Linked DNA regions of Lonchura striata. The protein of the gene in region 1 interacts with the protein of each later gene in a pairwise test. Links are inferred from orthologs where the notes say so. Each region holds a gene or a part of one and is shown in the gene's direction. Other genes may lie near its edges. The genes, in order: RBM15, DDX17 and NAV2.

Region 1 (3,744 bases):
AAGATCCTCAGAAAACACAGGGATTATGGAAGGATCCTCACAAAACACAGGGATTACGGAGGGATTCTCACAAAACACACAGATCAGAGGCGCTCCTGTTCCACGGGAGCTGGAATTCCCTGAGGCCTCCTCACCTCAGACCTAACCCGAACTCATCTCCGAGAGCCTCCGAGCTCCAACTCCCCAGGGAAACATGGCGAGAGCAGGAATGTACCAGGATAACCGCTGTGATGTGCAGCTTTAAACGGGAAATATCTCAAGAAACGGTTTGCTGGCCCGGAGCAGGAGTGCCCGTGTTCTCAGGCAGTTCCTGCAGGTCCGCAGGGCTCCAGAGCCGGCAGAGCAGCGCGGGGAGCCGCAGCCTCATGCGGGCTGCACAAGCAAACAGGGAGAGCGTGAGGCAGGCACTGAACGCAGCCGAGCTCCCCTCGCTCGCCCCGCGGTGGGTTCAGCCCAGCCCGGCGGGCGCACTGGCGGGCTGAGGACGGACACACGGAGCACCGCCGCACCTCCGCCCCGCACCACCGCCCGCCGCGCTCTGAGCCCTCAGGCACCGCCGTACCGCGAGCTCTGCCCGGGGACCGCCCCCCTCCCCGCGGCGACCAATCGGAGCCAGAACAAGCCTGAGTGATTTTTGCCTTAGCCAATCAGCACTCTGCCTGTCTGCGCCCAATCAGACGCCAGGGGACGTTTTCTCGCCCAATGAGAAACCAGAAACAGAGTTGCGGGAGCGGGGCGCGCTCCTTCATGAGCGGCGTATGGATCAGCCAATCACATCAGTGCGATGGGTTGCTAAGTGACCAATGAGGAAAGGGGGCGGGGGCAGAGCAACTCGCGAGAGTTTGAGGGGTGCGATGGGAACTCGCATCTAAGCGGGAGAGCCAATGGCACAGGGCGAGGCGGGGCCGCAGAACGATTATTGTAACTGGCGGCCAGGAGAGCCAATCAGCAGGCAGAGCTAAGTTCGGCCCATTGTTCAATGGGCAGCGAAAATCCTCCCATGGTTGAACAGCCACGATTGACAGGTAGCACCATCCAATGAGATCGCCGCGCCCTTTCTAACTGCCCAATGAGCGAGCGGGGCTGGGAGGCGCGCGACGGCGGCAATTCCCGCCCCCCCCGCGGGAGCACGGGGCTGGCTGGCAGACCGACAGCGCGGCGGACCAATGGGAACGCGCAGCGCCAGGAGGTGGGCGGAGCACCCCCGCAGCGGCGGCCAATGGGCGAGGGCACCGCCCTGGGCAGCCAATGGGCGCGGGGAGGGCGGCGCGCGGTGCCGGCGCGGCTCCAAGATGGCGGCGGGTGCGTGAGCGGGGCGGTCGGGGAGGCCCGGCGGGAGCGCGGCCGCCGCCGCCATGAAGGGCAAGGAGCGCTCGCCCGCCAAGGCCAAGCGCTCCCGGGGCGGCGAGGACTCGGCGTCCTCCTCCTCCTCCTCGCGCGGCAGCAAGAAGCCGAGCGGCTCGTCCGGCGGAGGCGGCGGCTCCAACGGCGGGAAAGCGGCGGCGGCGTCCGGCGAGAGCAACAGCGGGAGCGGCCGGCGCGGCGCCCACGCGGACAAGGGCGGCCGCGCCGGCAGCCGCGAGTACGAGACCGGTTCGGCGGCGGCCGCGGGCGGCGGGGGCCGGCACGGCTACAGCGGTAAAACCGCGGAGGCGTCGCGAAGCAGCAGCAGCCGCGGCGGCGAATCGCGAGCGGCCGCCGCCGCCTCCTCCTCCTCCTCCTCGTCGGAGCCGGGCGGCGGCGAGTACAAGACGCTGAAGATCAGCGAGCTGGGCTCGGCGCTGAGCGACGAGGCGGTGGAGGACGGGCTGTTCCACGAGTTCAAGCGCTTCGGCGACGTGAGCGTCAAGATCAGCCGGCTCCCACCCGGCGCCGGCGCCGCCGACGAGCGCGTGGCCTTCGTCAACTTCCGGCGGCCCGAGGACGCGCGCGCCGCCAAGCACGCCCGCGGCCGCCTCGTGCTCTACGACCGCCCGCTGAAGATCGAGGCCGTCTATGTCGGCGGAGGCAGCGGCCGCCGGCGCAGCAGCCGCTCCCCGGCGCTGCTGGACAAGGAGTCTCCCTACGGCGCGGCGGCGGTCGGGGCGGTGGCGGCCGCCGTGCGGCACCCGCCGGCCGGGGCCGCGCAGCGGGCGCTGTCCCCCGCGGGCAGCGGAGGAGCTTTGGGCTACCGGGACTACCGGCTGCAGCAGCTCGCCCTGGGCCGGCTGCCGCCGCCGCCGCTGCCGAGGGAGCTGGAGAGGGAGCGGGACTACGGCGGCTTCTACGAGGCGCGGGTGCGGCCGGCCTACGGGCTGGAGCGCGTGGCCGGCGTGGCGGCAGCCGGGGGATTCCGCGGAGGAGGAGGAGGAGGTGCCGGAGCGGCCGCCGAGGAGGAGATCAGCCCCGAGGATGACCAGAGAGCCAACCGCACGCTGTTCCTGGGCAACCTGGACATCACCGTGAGCGAGTCGGACCTGCGGCGAGCGTTCGACCGTTTCGGGGTCATCACTGAGGTGGACATCAAGAGGCCGGGGCGTGGGCAGACCAGCACCTATGGGTTTCTTAAGTTTGAGAATCTGGACATGGCGCACCGGGCCAAGTTGGCCATGTCGGGGAAGGTGCTGCTGCGCAACCCCATCAAGATCGGGTACGGGAAAGCCACCCCGACCACCCGGCTCTGGGTGGGCGGCCTCGGGCCCTGGGTGCCCCTGGCTGCCCTGGCCAGGGAGTTTGATCGGTTTGGCACCATCCGCACGATCGATTACCGCAAAGGGGATTCCTGGGCCTATATCCAGTACGAGAGCCTGGACGCGGCGCAGGCAGCCTGCACCCACATGCGGGGCTTTCCCCTGGGGGGGCCGGATCGCCGGCTCCGCGTAGACTTTGCCGACACAGAGCATCGGTACCAGCAGCCCTACCTGCAGCCCCTGCCCTTGCCGCCCCCGGCTCATTACGAGCTTGTGGCGGAGGCGGCTGCTTTTGGGGCTCACCGGGGAGCCCCCCCTGACCCTCTCCGGGGGGCCCGGGACAGGACGCCACCGTTGCTCTATAGAGACCGTGACAGAGACCTTTATCCTGAGACAGAGTGGGTGCCCCCGCCGCCCCCTGTGCGGGATCGGAGTAATCGGGCAGCTGCCTATGACCCACTGGAAAGCCTGGAGCGCCGCCGGGATGGGTGGTCCTTGGAGCGGGACCGCGGGGAGAGGGAGCTGGGCAGTAGCAGTAGGGATCAGCCTAGGAAACGGAGGCTGGCGGAGGATGGAGGCCGGCACTTGGACCGTTCCCCTGACAGCGAGCGCTCCTCTTCCTCCCGAAAGCGCCACTGCTTGGCCACAACCTCTCCCCCGGACCGCAGCCCCGAGCTCCTGGGAGGCCGGGAGCGTTACAGTAGTGACCCTGAGCGCTCGTCCCGCTTGCTCCTCTTGGAGCGACCTTCCCCCATCCGGGAGTCCCGCCGGGGCAGCCTGGAGCGGGGGCAGAACGAAAAGCGCGACCGCAAGAACTCCGCAGAGCGGGAGCGCAAGCACCGCGCCGCCGCTGCCGCCCAGGAGTGCAAAAGTCCGGCCAAAAAGGACGAGCGGGCGGCGGATGGAGGTGGCGGAGGCTCCCGGCTCAAACCTCCTCCCCAAAAACAGCAGCAGGATGGAGCAGCGCAGGCTGGGGCAGCGCCCAAACTGTGCCTGGCTTGGCAGGGGATGCTCCTGCTGAAGAACAGCAACTTCCCGTCCAACATGCACCTGCTCCAGGGGGACCTCGGAGTCG
Region 2 (3,744 bases), on another chromosome or scaffold:
TCGATAACCTGTCAGCCCAGAAATTACTGCTGATAGTGAAACACGGTGTGGGCCAGGGCTGGGTTTGGCTGGGCTAACCCCACCATCTCCTTGTGCCAGGACACACTGACTTGGCAATACCGCATACACAACACAAAAGGATTTATGGTCTGTGCCACGTAATCGCCTCGTGGATGATTCTGCCTTTCAGCGAGGAGTCTCTGGCTCATGTGGGGAATTCTGCCGCGGCCTGCCGGCGCTCAGGCGACAGCAAACATCATGGCTGCTGTCACTCTGCTCCTGCCCCCGCGCCGCGCCGAGATCCCCCTGCTAATCTTACAGGGAATAACCTCGGCCGCCGGAGCCGCCACAGAGGTCCAAAGGGCCGCTCCCGCCCCGTCGCCCAGCGTCCCATTATTGTTCCGCCATTGTCCCATCATCGTGTCCTCAACCCCGCCGCCACCTCGGCGGAGCCCGTGGGCGAGAAGGCGACGGGCCGTATTCTTCAAACCGTCTGCGAATCCAGCGTAACCCTCCGGCCCAGCCTGCACGGTCCGCGTAAGAATCCTACGCCAAGCGCACCGGGCTCTTCCCGCCCTACGCTACCCTCAGTTACGCACCTTACGTACGCCGTGCACTTACGTAACGTGCGCCTCGGCCCAGGTATTCTCTGCCCTGCAGAAGGGGTTACGGAGAGCTCCTTACGCAGCTGACTTTGGGGAATAGCGTTACTCCTCCCCTCCGCCTTCCTCACGCGGGGCCCCGGCTCTAAGTAAAGAACGTTACGCACCTTTCGTAGCCCGCCTGCTACTGCACGGGGCGGTGTTTCGCCGAGCGCGCTTAGTGCGTAGTTGAGTTCCGAGAATAGGCGTAGGTGTTTCGGAGGGCCGGAGTTTGCGCAGCGCCAGGCTGCCCGTAACGTAAGCGGAGCGGGCCGGGGCGGCGGCGGCCATTTTGTGCCGGGAGCGCGGAGCAAGAAGACGCTGGTGTCGCCACACTACCCGGGCCCTGGAGCCGACCGAGAGCCCCGCCGTTCCGGCCGCTGACGCCCAGCGGGTCTCGGACCCTCTGACCACCTCTTCTCCTTTTGTGTCCCACCAAAGAGGCGAGGTGGCGCAAAGCGAGGCCTCCGAGGCGCAGCCGCCCCTGGCTGGACCCTCGCCCCGTACCCCCAGTCCCTCGCCGTCCCCACGGCCGGCGTTCCGCTGCCTCTCACCCACCCCTCCGGGGGCGATGAGAGGCTTCGGGGACCGGGGCCGCGACCGAGACCGCGGCGGGTAAGGGGGAGGGGGGGTCGGCACGGCGGGGGGCGGTGGGGGAAGCCGAAGGCCTGCGTTGGGGGCGGGGTAGGCCGAGGGGTTCGGGGGGTGTGTTGGAGTGGCGGTTTTGGGGGAGCTAAAATTCCATCTGTGGAGATTTGCCCCCCTGGATTCTCGTGTGGGGGCGGGGGTAGTTGGAGGCTTATCTGTCCCCAAGGCGAGGTGGTGGGTTTTGAGCGTTTTACGGGTTTTTAAATTATTTGTTTTATTTAGCTTTTCCACCGTCCATGTGTAACTAGTTCTGAGCCTTGCTTGCAATTTTAAGGCCTGCATCCACCCTGCCCCCTTAATTATTTTCTGCCAGCCGCCTTATTTACCCGGCGGGACCCGTGGCACCCTCCCCGCTGCGAGCCACGAAGGTCTCGGTGGCCCTGGCAGGGCTGGTTGTCCTTCTGTCTGCCCTTCTGGTTGTCATTGCTCCTTCTGGACTTACTGGAAAGATGGCAGAGGGGGGAAGATCTGTCTCAGCTGCGCTCCTGGGTTTACCGTGATAGGAAATGGGATTGGAAACGCTGCCCTTTGGGGGACTTGGGCACTCGAGCGGGTGATCTCGGTGAGCCATGGTGCTGGACCACACTCGCCAAGTTTACGTAGTGCTACAGCAATTGTTTGTGTGGTTCTGTAAAGGCCTAGTGCTTGATACTCTTGAATCTGTTATTTAAAGAAGGTTTGGCTTGCAAAAGGCTTTTGCAGGTTTGATTTGATGTGATTTTTTTTCTTTTGACAATGACAGCAGTAAACACAATGGTGTTATACTGCGTAACTAGAGTGAGTTTCGAGCTTTTTAAGCGTTGACAGTAATAAGGCATTCGTGCCAGGCCTTTTTAAAGAGAAAGTTAGAACTAATTTCTGAGAGTGGCATTTTCAGATCATGAGTAGTTCTCAAGGTTTAGCAAAAAAATATAATGTGGGTTCTGCTATATAGTAAGCTAGATCTCAATTAATGAGTCTTCTCTCCATTTTTTTCCTTTTTTTTTCTCTCCCACTTCCTTTTCCTCGTGTTTTCCCTTGCCACTGGCAGATTAAAGAATATTTTGCTATACATTGCAATGCACTTTGACATTCGGTTTCTTGTCAGCTGTGGAGGGAGATAGTTGGATCATTGCTTTATCTTACACCGACATTTAACATCCTGAAATTAAAAGATACTTTCGGTCTTTTTTTTTTTCACAGAGAGGAGGGTTCTGGTGTTTTTCTGCTAAGAGATTTCCAGCTCAGTTTAACACAAGGACATTGGAGTAAGCGCTTTGGCAAGTCTGAGATAGATCAGACCACAGCTGTTTTTGGAGTTTAGTGAGTGAGTTTGAGTATGCAGATTTATATACAGTTACTTATAGAACACTGGCCAAAGCATTGCCACAACACTTGATGTGCCTTAAAATTAGTGTTATTTCATTTTCTGTAAAGTCTTTAATTATAGTGGCTGCTTCTCTTTTAGGTCAGGGGTTTTGCATGAGTAAAAGAAGTGCTTCCATGATTCTTTGTGAAGTCTGTGGATATTTGCATGAAAAATTTTTTTTTTCTTTTTTTTTTTTTTTTTTTTTTTTTTTTTTTTTTTTTTTTTTTTTTTTTTGCATATTATCCTGGAACCTTTAATACATTAGGATTCAATTTGTTACATACATCCCTTTAAGTTGTGAAAATATTTGTAACCACTAACAACTATCTTACTTCATAAATAACCTGTATAAAATATTGGGCCTCCCAGTGTGCTGGTTCAGTACCTTATGAAAGTTTACCACCACTTCTTTTGTAGTCTAATCACATAAAAGGGTTCTAGTTTTCTCTTGTCAGGAATGAGCTGTACGTGACTTCTTAGGAAAATTATGTTTTCCTCTGGAATGTGTCAGATTTACTCAGTTCTGTCCCAGAAGTGATGGCAGTAGTAATATTAGGGAAGAAAGTTTTGAGCCACCCTGAATTTACCTTTGAAAAGAGGGCTGTTGGCAAACCAGGGAAATACTAGATTTAAGTCAGTTTAATTTGAGTTGGAATCTCTTTTTACTTGGAGTCAGAATGTGAAGTGTCAGTTACTGCCAGTTTAGCAACTGAACCCCCACAGAGTCAGGGTTCAAGGGCTGCTGTAGGGTTCCTTCCTTTTCCTTTCAGGTCAGGATTCAGGCATATTGTGTGTTAGAGTGGAGAACTGAAACTATGTGACTTCTGTGTAGAATATGTAGTTTTTTTTTCCCTCTGGATAGCTTTAGAGCATGTGTTCATAGTACCCAGCTTTTAGCTTTTGCAGTGTCCAGTCTTGCTGGCAGCCCAGTCGTATGTTTCCTTTTCTAAGGAAACTCATCAACCCTTTGACCCTCTAGTGGACTTGAGTGAGTTTGGGGTTTATGGGTTTTGTAGGAACTGCTTGGGTACTGACATTTTTGACATTTTGACCTCAGTTTAGCATGATTGGTAACAAACATCATCACTAAAGGTGGATGTCCCTGTA
Region 3 (3,744 bases), on another chromosome or scaffold:
GTGGCATTGTATGTCCTGGTGCTGGGCAGTCTCGAAGGCATCGCTTGGTGCCGTGATTCCCAGAGGGATGATCAACCTCCCGCTGTCCTGCAGGTGTGGCAGGAAGGGAATAATGCACCTCTGGAATGCCACAGGATGAACAGGAACGCGGGCTCCGGGGCTCGGAACGGGTCCTGGCATCCACCGAGCGGCGTGAGGCGGAACCTGCGGCACTGAGAGCCTCCCCAAAGCCAAGTGTTGCTATAACAGGGCCGTATTACTCACTGTGCTTATTCAAATTCCTGTTGATGCTGGCAGCGGCAGTTTTTTTCCCGAACGGCCACGAACAATAAGTCACTTCCAGGTGTTTTGATTTGAATTTTTTTTTTTTTTTTTTTTTAAATTTCAAAAAGAAACCGGTCCCCGGCTCGCTCCGTGCCGCGCCTCCGGAGCATCCATCCATCCATCCCTCCAGATCCCTCCTCCCCACAGGTCTCCCTGCTCGCCGCGGGAGCCGCTCCTCCCCCTGCGGAGAGAGGGAGCGATTTCTTGAGTATTTATTTATTTATTTAATTTTTTTTGTGTGTGTGTGTGTTGCTGCTCGGAGCGGGCAGGACCAATCCGGGGCCCGCCCTGCCCGCTCGGTGCCGGGCAGCCGCCGCCTCCCGCCCGCCCGGCTGGTCCCGGCCCCCCCGGGATGCTCCGGGAGCCCGCTCCACTGCGGGAGGGAGCATGAGCTGCATCGGCTGCCGGCTGCTTTCCCTTCCCTCTCGCTGCTGAATCGCTTTCATTTTTAATCTCTTTTTTTCTTCTTTTTTTTTTTTTTTTTTTTTTTTTTCCCACCCCTACTCCTCGCCCCGTCCAGGTTTTTATGCTCAGCACTAGGGGAGCCGGGAAATTTTGTGGCCGCTGACATATTTTGGTTTAAAAATCGCTGTCAGTGGACGTTTCTCCTTCTGCTCCGGCATCGTTGTCCTGTTCACAGCTATTTAGGCTTAAGAAGCTTGATTCACTAAGGCTTGTATCCAAGGGCATCAGTCATTAACACACTGAGCTACATCTGCTTCTTGGCTAAGACTGAAGAAGGACATCTTAAGCTGGAAATCCTGCTCGCTCACTCTCTAGTGCGTACGGAAGGGGAAGCATATGCAGCAGCAGGTTCCTTTTTTTTTTTTTTTTTTTTCCCCCAAAGGCTGCCTCACTTTGAAGATGCGGTGACAAGATAATGGAGTGAAAGTCTTTCATTTCCAGGCAAGAAAATTGCAGGAGTCAGAGAGAGGAAGGAGCAAGTTACATAGCAGAAATAGGAAAGAGGACAGTGGTAAAGAACTGAAAATAAAATTAGAGGAAACAGGTGGAAGGCTGGCATAAAGCTGAGAAATATTTTAGACTGAAAGTGGTGTGTTTTTTCTTCTTTTTCTCTTTTTTCCTTTCTCTTTTTTATTTTTTTTAATTGGTTTTATTGTAGATTTTAAATTCTAAGCTGATTTTGGAGATCTCTGCAGTAACCAGGCTGCTTTACAGCAGAACAGCTTCCCCAGCGTGTCATTTTCTCTCTCCCTGCCTGCTGTCTCTGCTGTTGCTGCTGCTGACAGAAACGTGTTAGGAAAGCAGAAAGAGAAAATGCCAGCCATCCTGGTAGCCTCCAAAATGAAATCGGGACTACCTAAACCCGTACACAGCGCTGCTCCAATCCTGCATGTCCCAACGGCCAGGACCATCCCACAGCCCTGTTACCTGAAGTTTGGGAACAAGGTGGAGGTGACGAAGCCATTGTATTCCAGCCAGATTCCTCTCAAATCTTCCAATGGACAAGAAAACGCAGGAGACGGCCTCCCAGCAAGGAAGAGTAGCTCGGTAGAAAACGGATTTGACACACAGGTTAGCAGGCACCAAATGCTGGGGAGGTGTATGTGAGGATTTATTTCTGTGTTGAGAGTGTGCAGCAGGTTTTCTAGGGTAAATAGCATGGAATTGCGAGGAAGGGATGTGTGTGTGTGCCAACATCTGTCTGCAGCGGTGGGATGTTTTATATTCCACACAGTGGCATGTGTGATTCTGTCAGCATGATGGAGCTGGTGGTGGGGTGCTGAGGGATGGGGCTGCATGTGCTGCTTGCCCGTGCTGCCTTCTCCATCATCTCTGCTTGAACTGGGGGGGATTTACAGGAGGGAGATGGTGGAGATGTTGTTTGTGGGGTGTGTTCTTTGTGTGCTTTCTGTAGGTGCTAAGCGTAAGGGCTGGCTCGTGTGCCTGGGCTGGGGGAGGATTGCTGGTTGTCACAAATGGGTTTTGTGTTTGGTCATGTACTGTACCGCAGCACTAGTTGTGTGAATGTTCTGTGTTTGTAGCTGTGTGGGGAGTGAATGGGAGGCAGTGCTTGATGCTAGATTACAATATGCATGTCATTCAGTGCAGTTAAATTAAACAGATTATGTAGGAAAGCAACACTTAAGTGGAATTGCCTGTATAATGCTATATGTGCACGACATCATAGATGCAGCACATCATCAATGCACACATTTTAGGTTTCCATTTAATCTGTGTCAGCCTTCTAATGTATTTTTATATGTGCTGCTTGCTGTAGAGGGAGGAGAGATGCCCATTGCTCAGCTGGCTTAATTTCTGTGGGCAGGGTGAGGTTGGCAGCGTGGCTGGGGCTGCCCTGCACTGCCCTGCCCTGGTGAGCTCCGCAGCAGCGTGGGCACAGCAGCAGCGTGGGCACAGCGTGTGTGTGACCGTGCCACGGAGGGAGCAGAGCAGAGGGGCTGCTGCAGCAGCCACAACTGATTGCTGTGCTCCAGAGATGGCTGTACAGCCCTGGCATGTATTTTGGCAGCAGCTCTATGCGTTACACGCTGCTGCCGCCAATGTCTGAGCCGGTGGAAGGTGATACCATTATGCAGAGAGAGGGAAGTGATGGCAGAGACTCCCCTGGTTTTTTTCCTTCTTTGAGGAATAATGGATCATCCCTACCACCTCGATTCTGAAATCTGTGGCCTGGTAACCCTGTTCCCTTCAGACAAGTGTGCCAACTGATTGGGCACGTTTGACCGCGTGCCCTGATTTCGGGATATGCTGCGCTTTCCTTGCTGGTAGACAGGGTGACTATGGGGCTGCTCAGGCCAGACAGATGCAGCTGGAGCAGTTCCTGAGGGACTGAGAGCAGGAAAAGGAGACAGCCAAGCATGGATCCAGGCTAGTGTCAGCAGACAGACCAACCTGTCTGCCCTTACAAGATAATCAATTGCTCTCTCTCACTTGTGCCCGAGTCTATCCTTGTGATTATGAAACGTCAGCAAAATCTCTTTATTTGCTGCCCTTTCTCTCACACATGCCATGGTTTCTGCATGGAAATCTATATTGCTGGAAAAGTGGTTGTTATTCAGAAATACTTTCGCCTCTTTTAACAGATCATGCTCCCAGAGATCTGCCAGTGGGAGCTGTTTGCAGCACTATGGTGGTTTTAACCCTTACAAGGATGTGGAACAAACCCCATTTTTTGTAGCCTGATGATGAAAGGGTCTTGATGCTAACTTGTTATATGTGAACAGGGAAAGATTTTGGCTAAGGAAATGTCAGATAATTTTACATTTTTAATTTCTTCAGCAGCAGGAAAAATCTTAAGCTTTGCATTCTCAGTAACCTCCTCTGGCTGGCAGTCTGAGCAGATGACCAGCACCTTTTAAGGTGTGACAGTGAGGCTTTTTTCACACAGTCATTTTTTTGTTATTCAGCAGTTTTGTTGATCCAGCTTTGTTCCTT

Evidence for each region.
Region 2: the proteins of RBM15 (region 1) and DDX17 interact in binary tests that used the Homo sapiens proteins (3 or more experiments, as listed by UniProt). The link is inferred for Lonchura striata from reciprocal best matches to the Homo sapiens genes RBM15 and DDX17.
Region 3: the proteins of RBM15 (region 1) and NAV2 interact in binary tests that used the Homo sapiens proteins (3 or more experiments, as listed by UniProt). The two-hybrid records come from large-scale screens. The link is inferred for Lonchura striata from reciprocal best matches to the Homo sapiens genes RBM15 and NAV2.

The regions. Positions count from the first base shown.
Region 1 is NC_134632.1:1,367,140-1,370,883, forward strand, and holds the start of RBM15 (RNA-binding protein 15), read left to right. Parts: upstream 1-1,355; coding exon 1,356-3,744. UniProt on the Homo sapiens protein: RNA-binding protein that acts as a key regulator of N6-methyladenosine (m6A) methylation of RNAs, thereby regulating different processes, such as hematopoietic cell homeostasis, alternative splicing of mRNAs and X chromosome inactivation mediated by Xist RNA.
Region 2 is NC_134607.1:23,793,821-23,797,564, reverse strand, and holds the start of DDX17 (putative ATP-dependent RNA helicase DDX17), read left to right. Parts: upstream 1-926; 5' UTR 927-1,212; coding exon 1,213-1,256; intron 1,257-3,744. UniProt on the Homo sapiens protein: As an RNA helicase, unwinds RNA and alters RNA structures through ATP binding and hydrolysis.
Region 3 is NC_134608.1:57,025,022-57,028,765, reverse strand, and holds the start of NAV2 (neuron navigator 2), read left to right. Parts: upstream 1-801; 5' UTR 802-1,602; coding exon 1,603-1,860; intron 1,861-3,744. UniProt on the Homo sapiens protein: Possesses 3' to 5' helicase activity and exonuclease activity. Involved in neuronal development, specifically in the development of different sensory organs.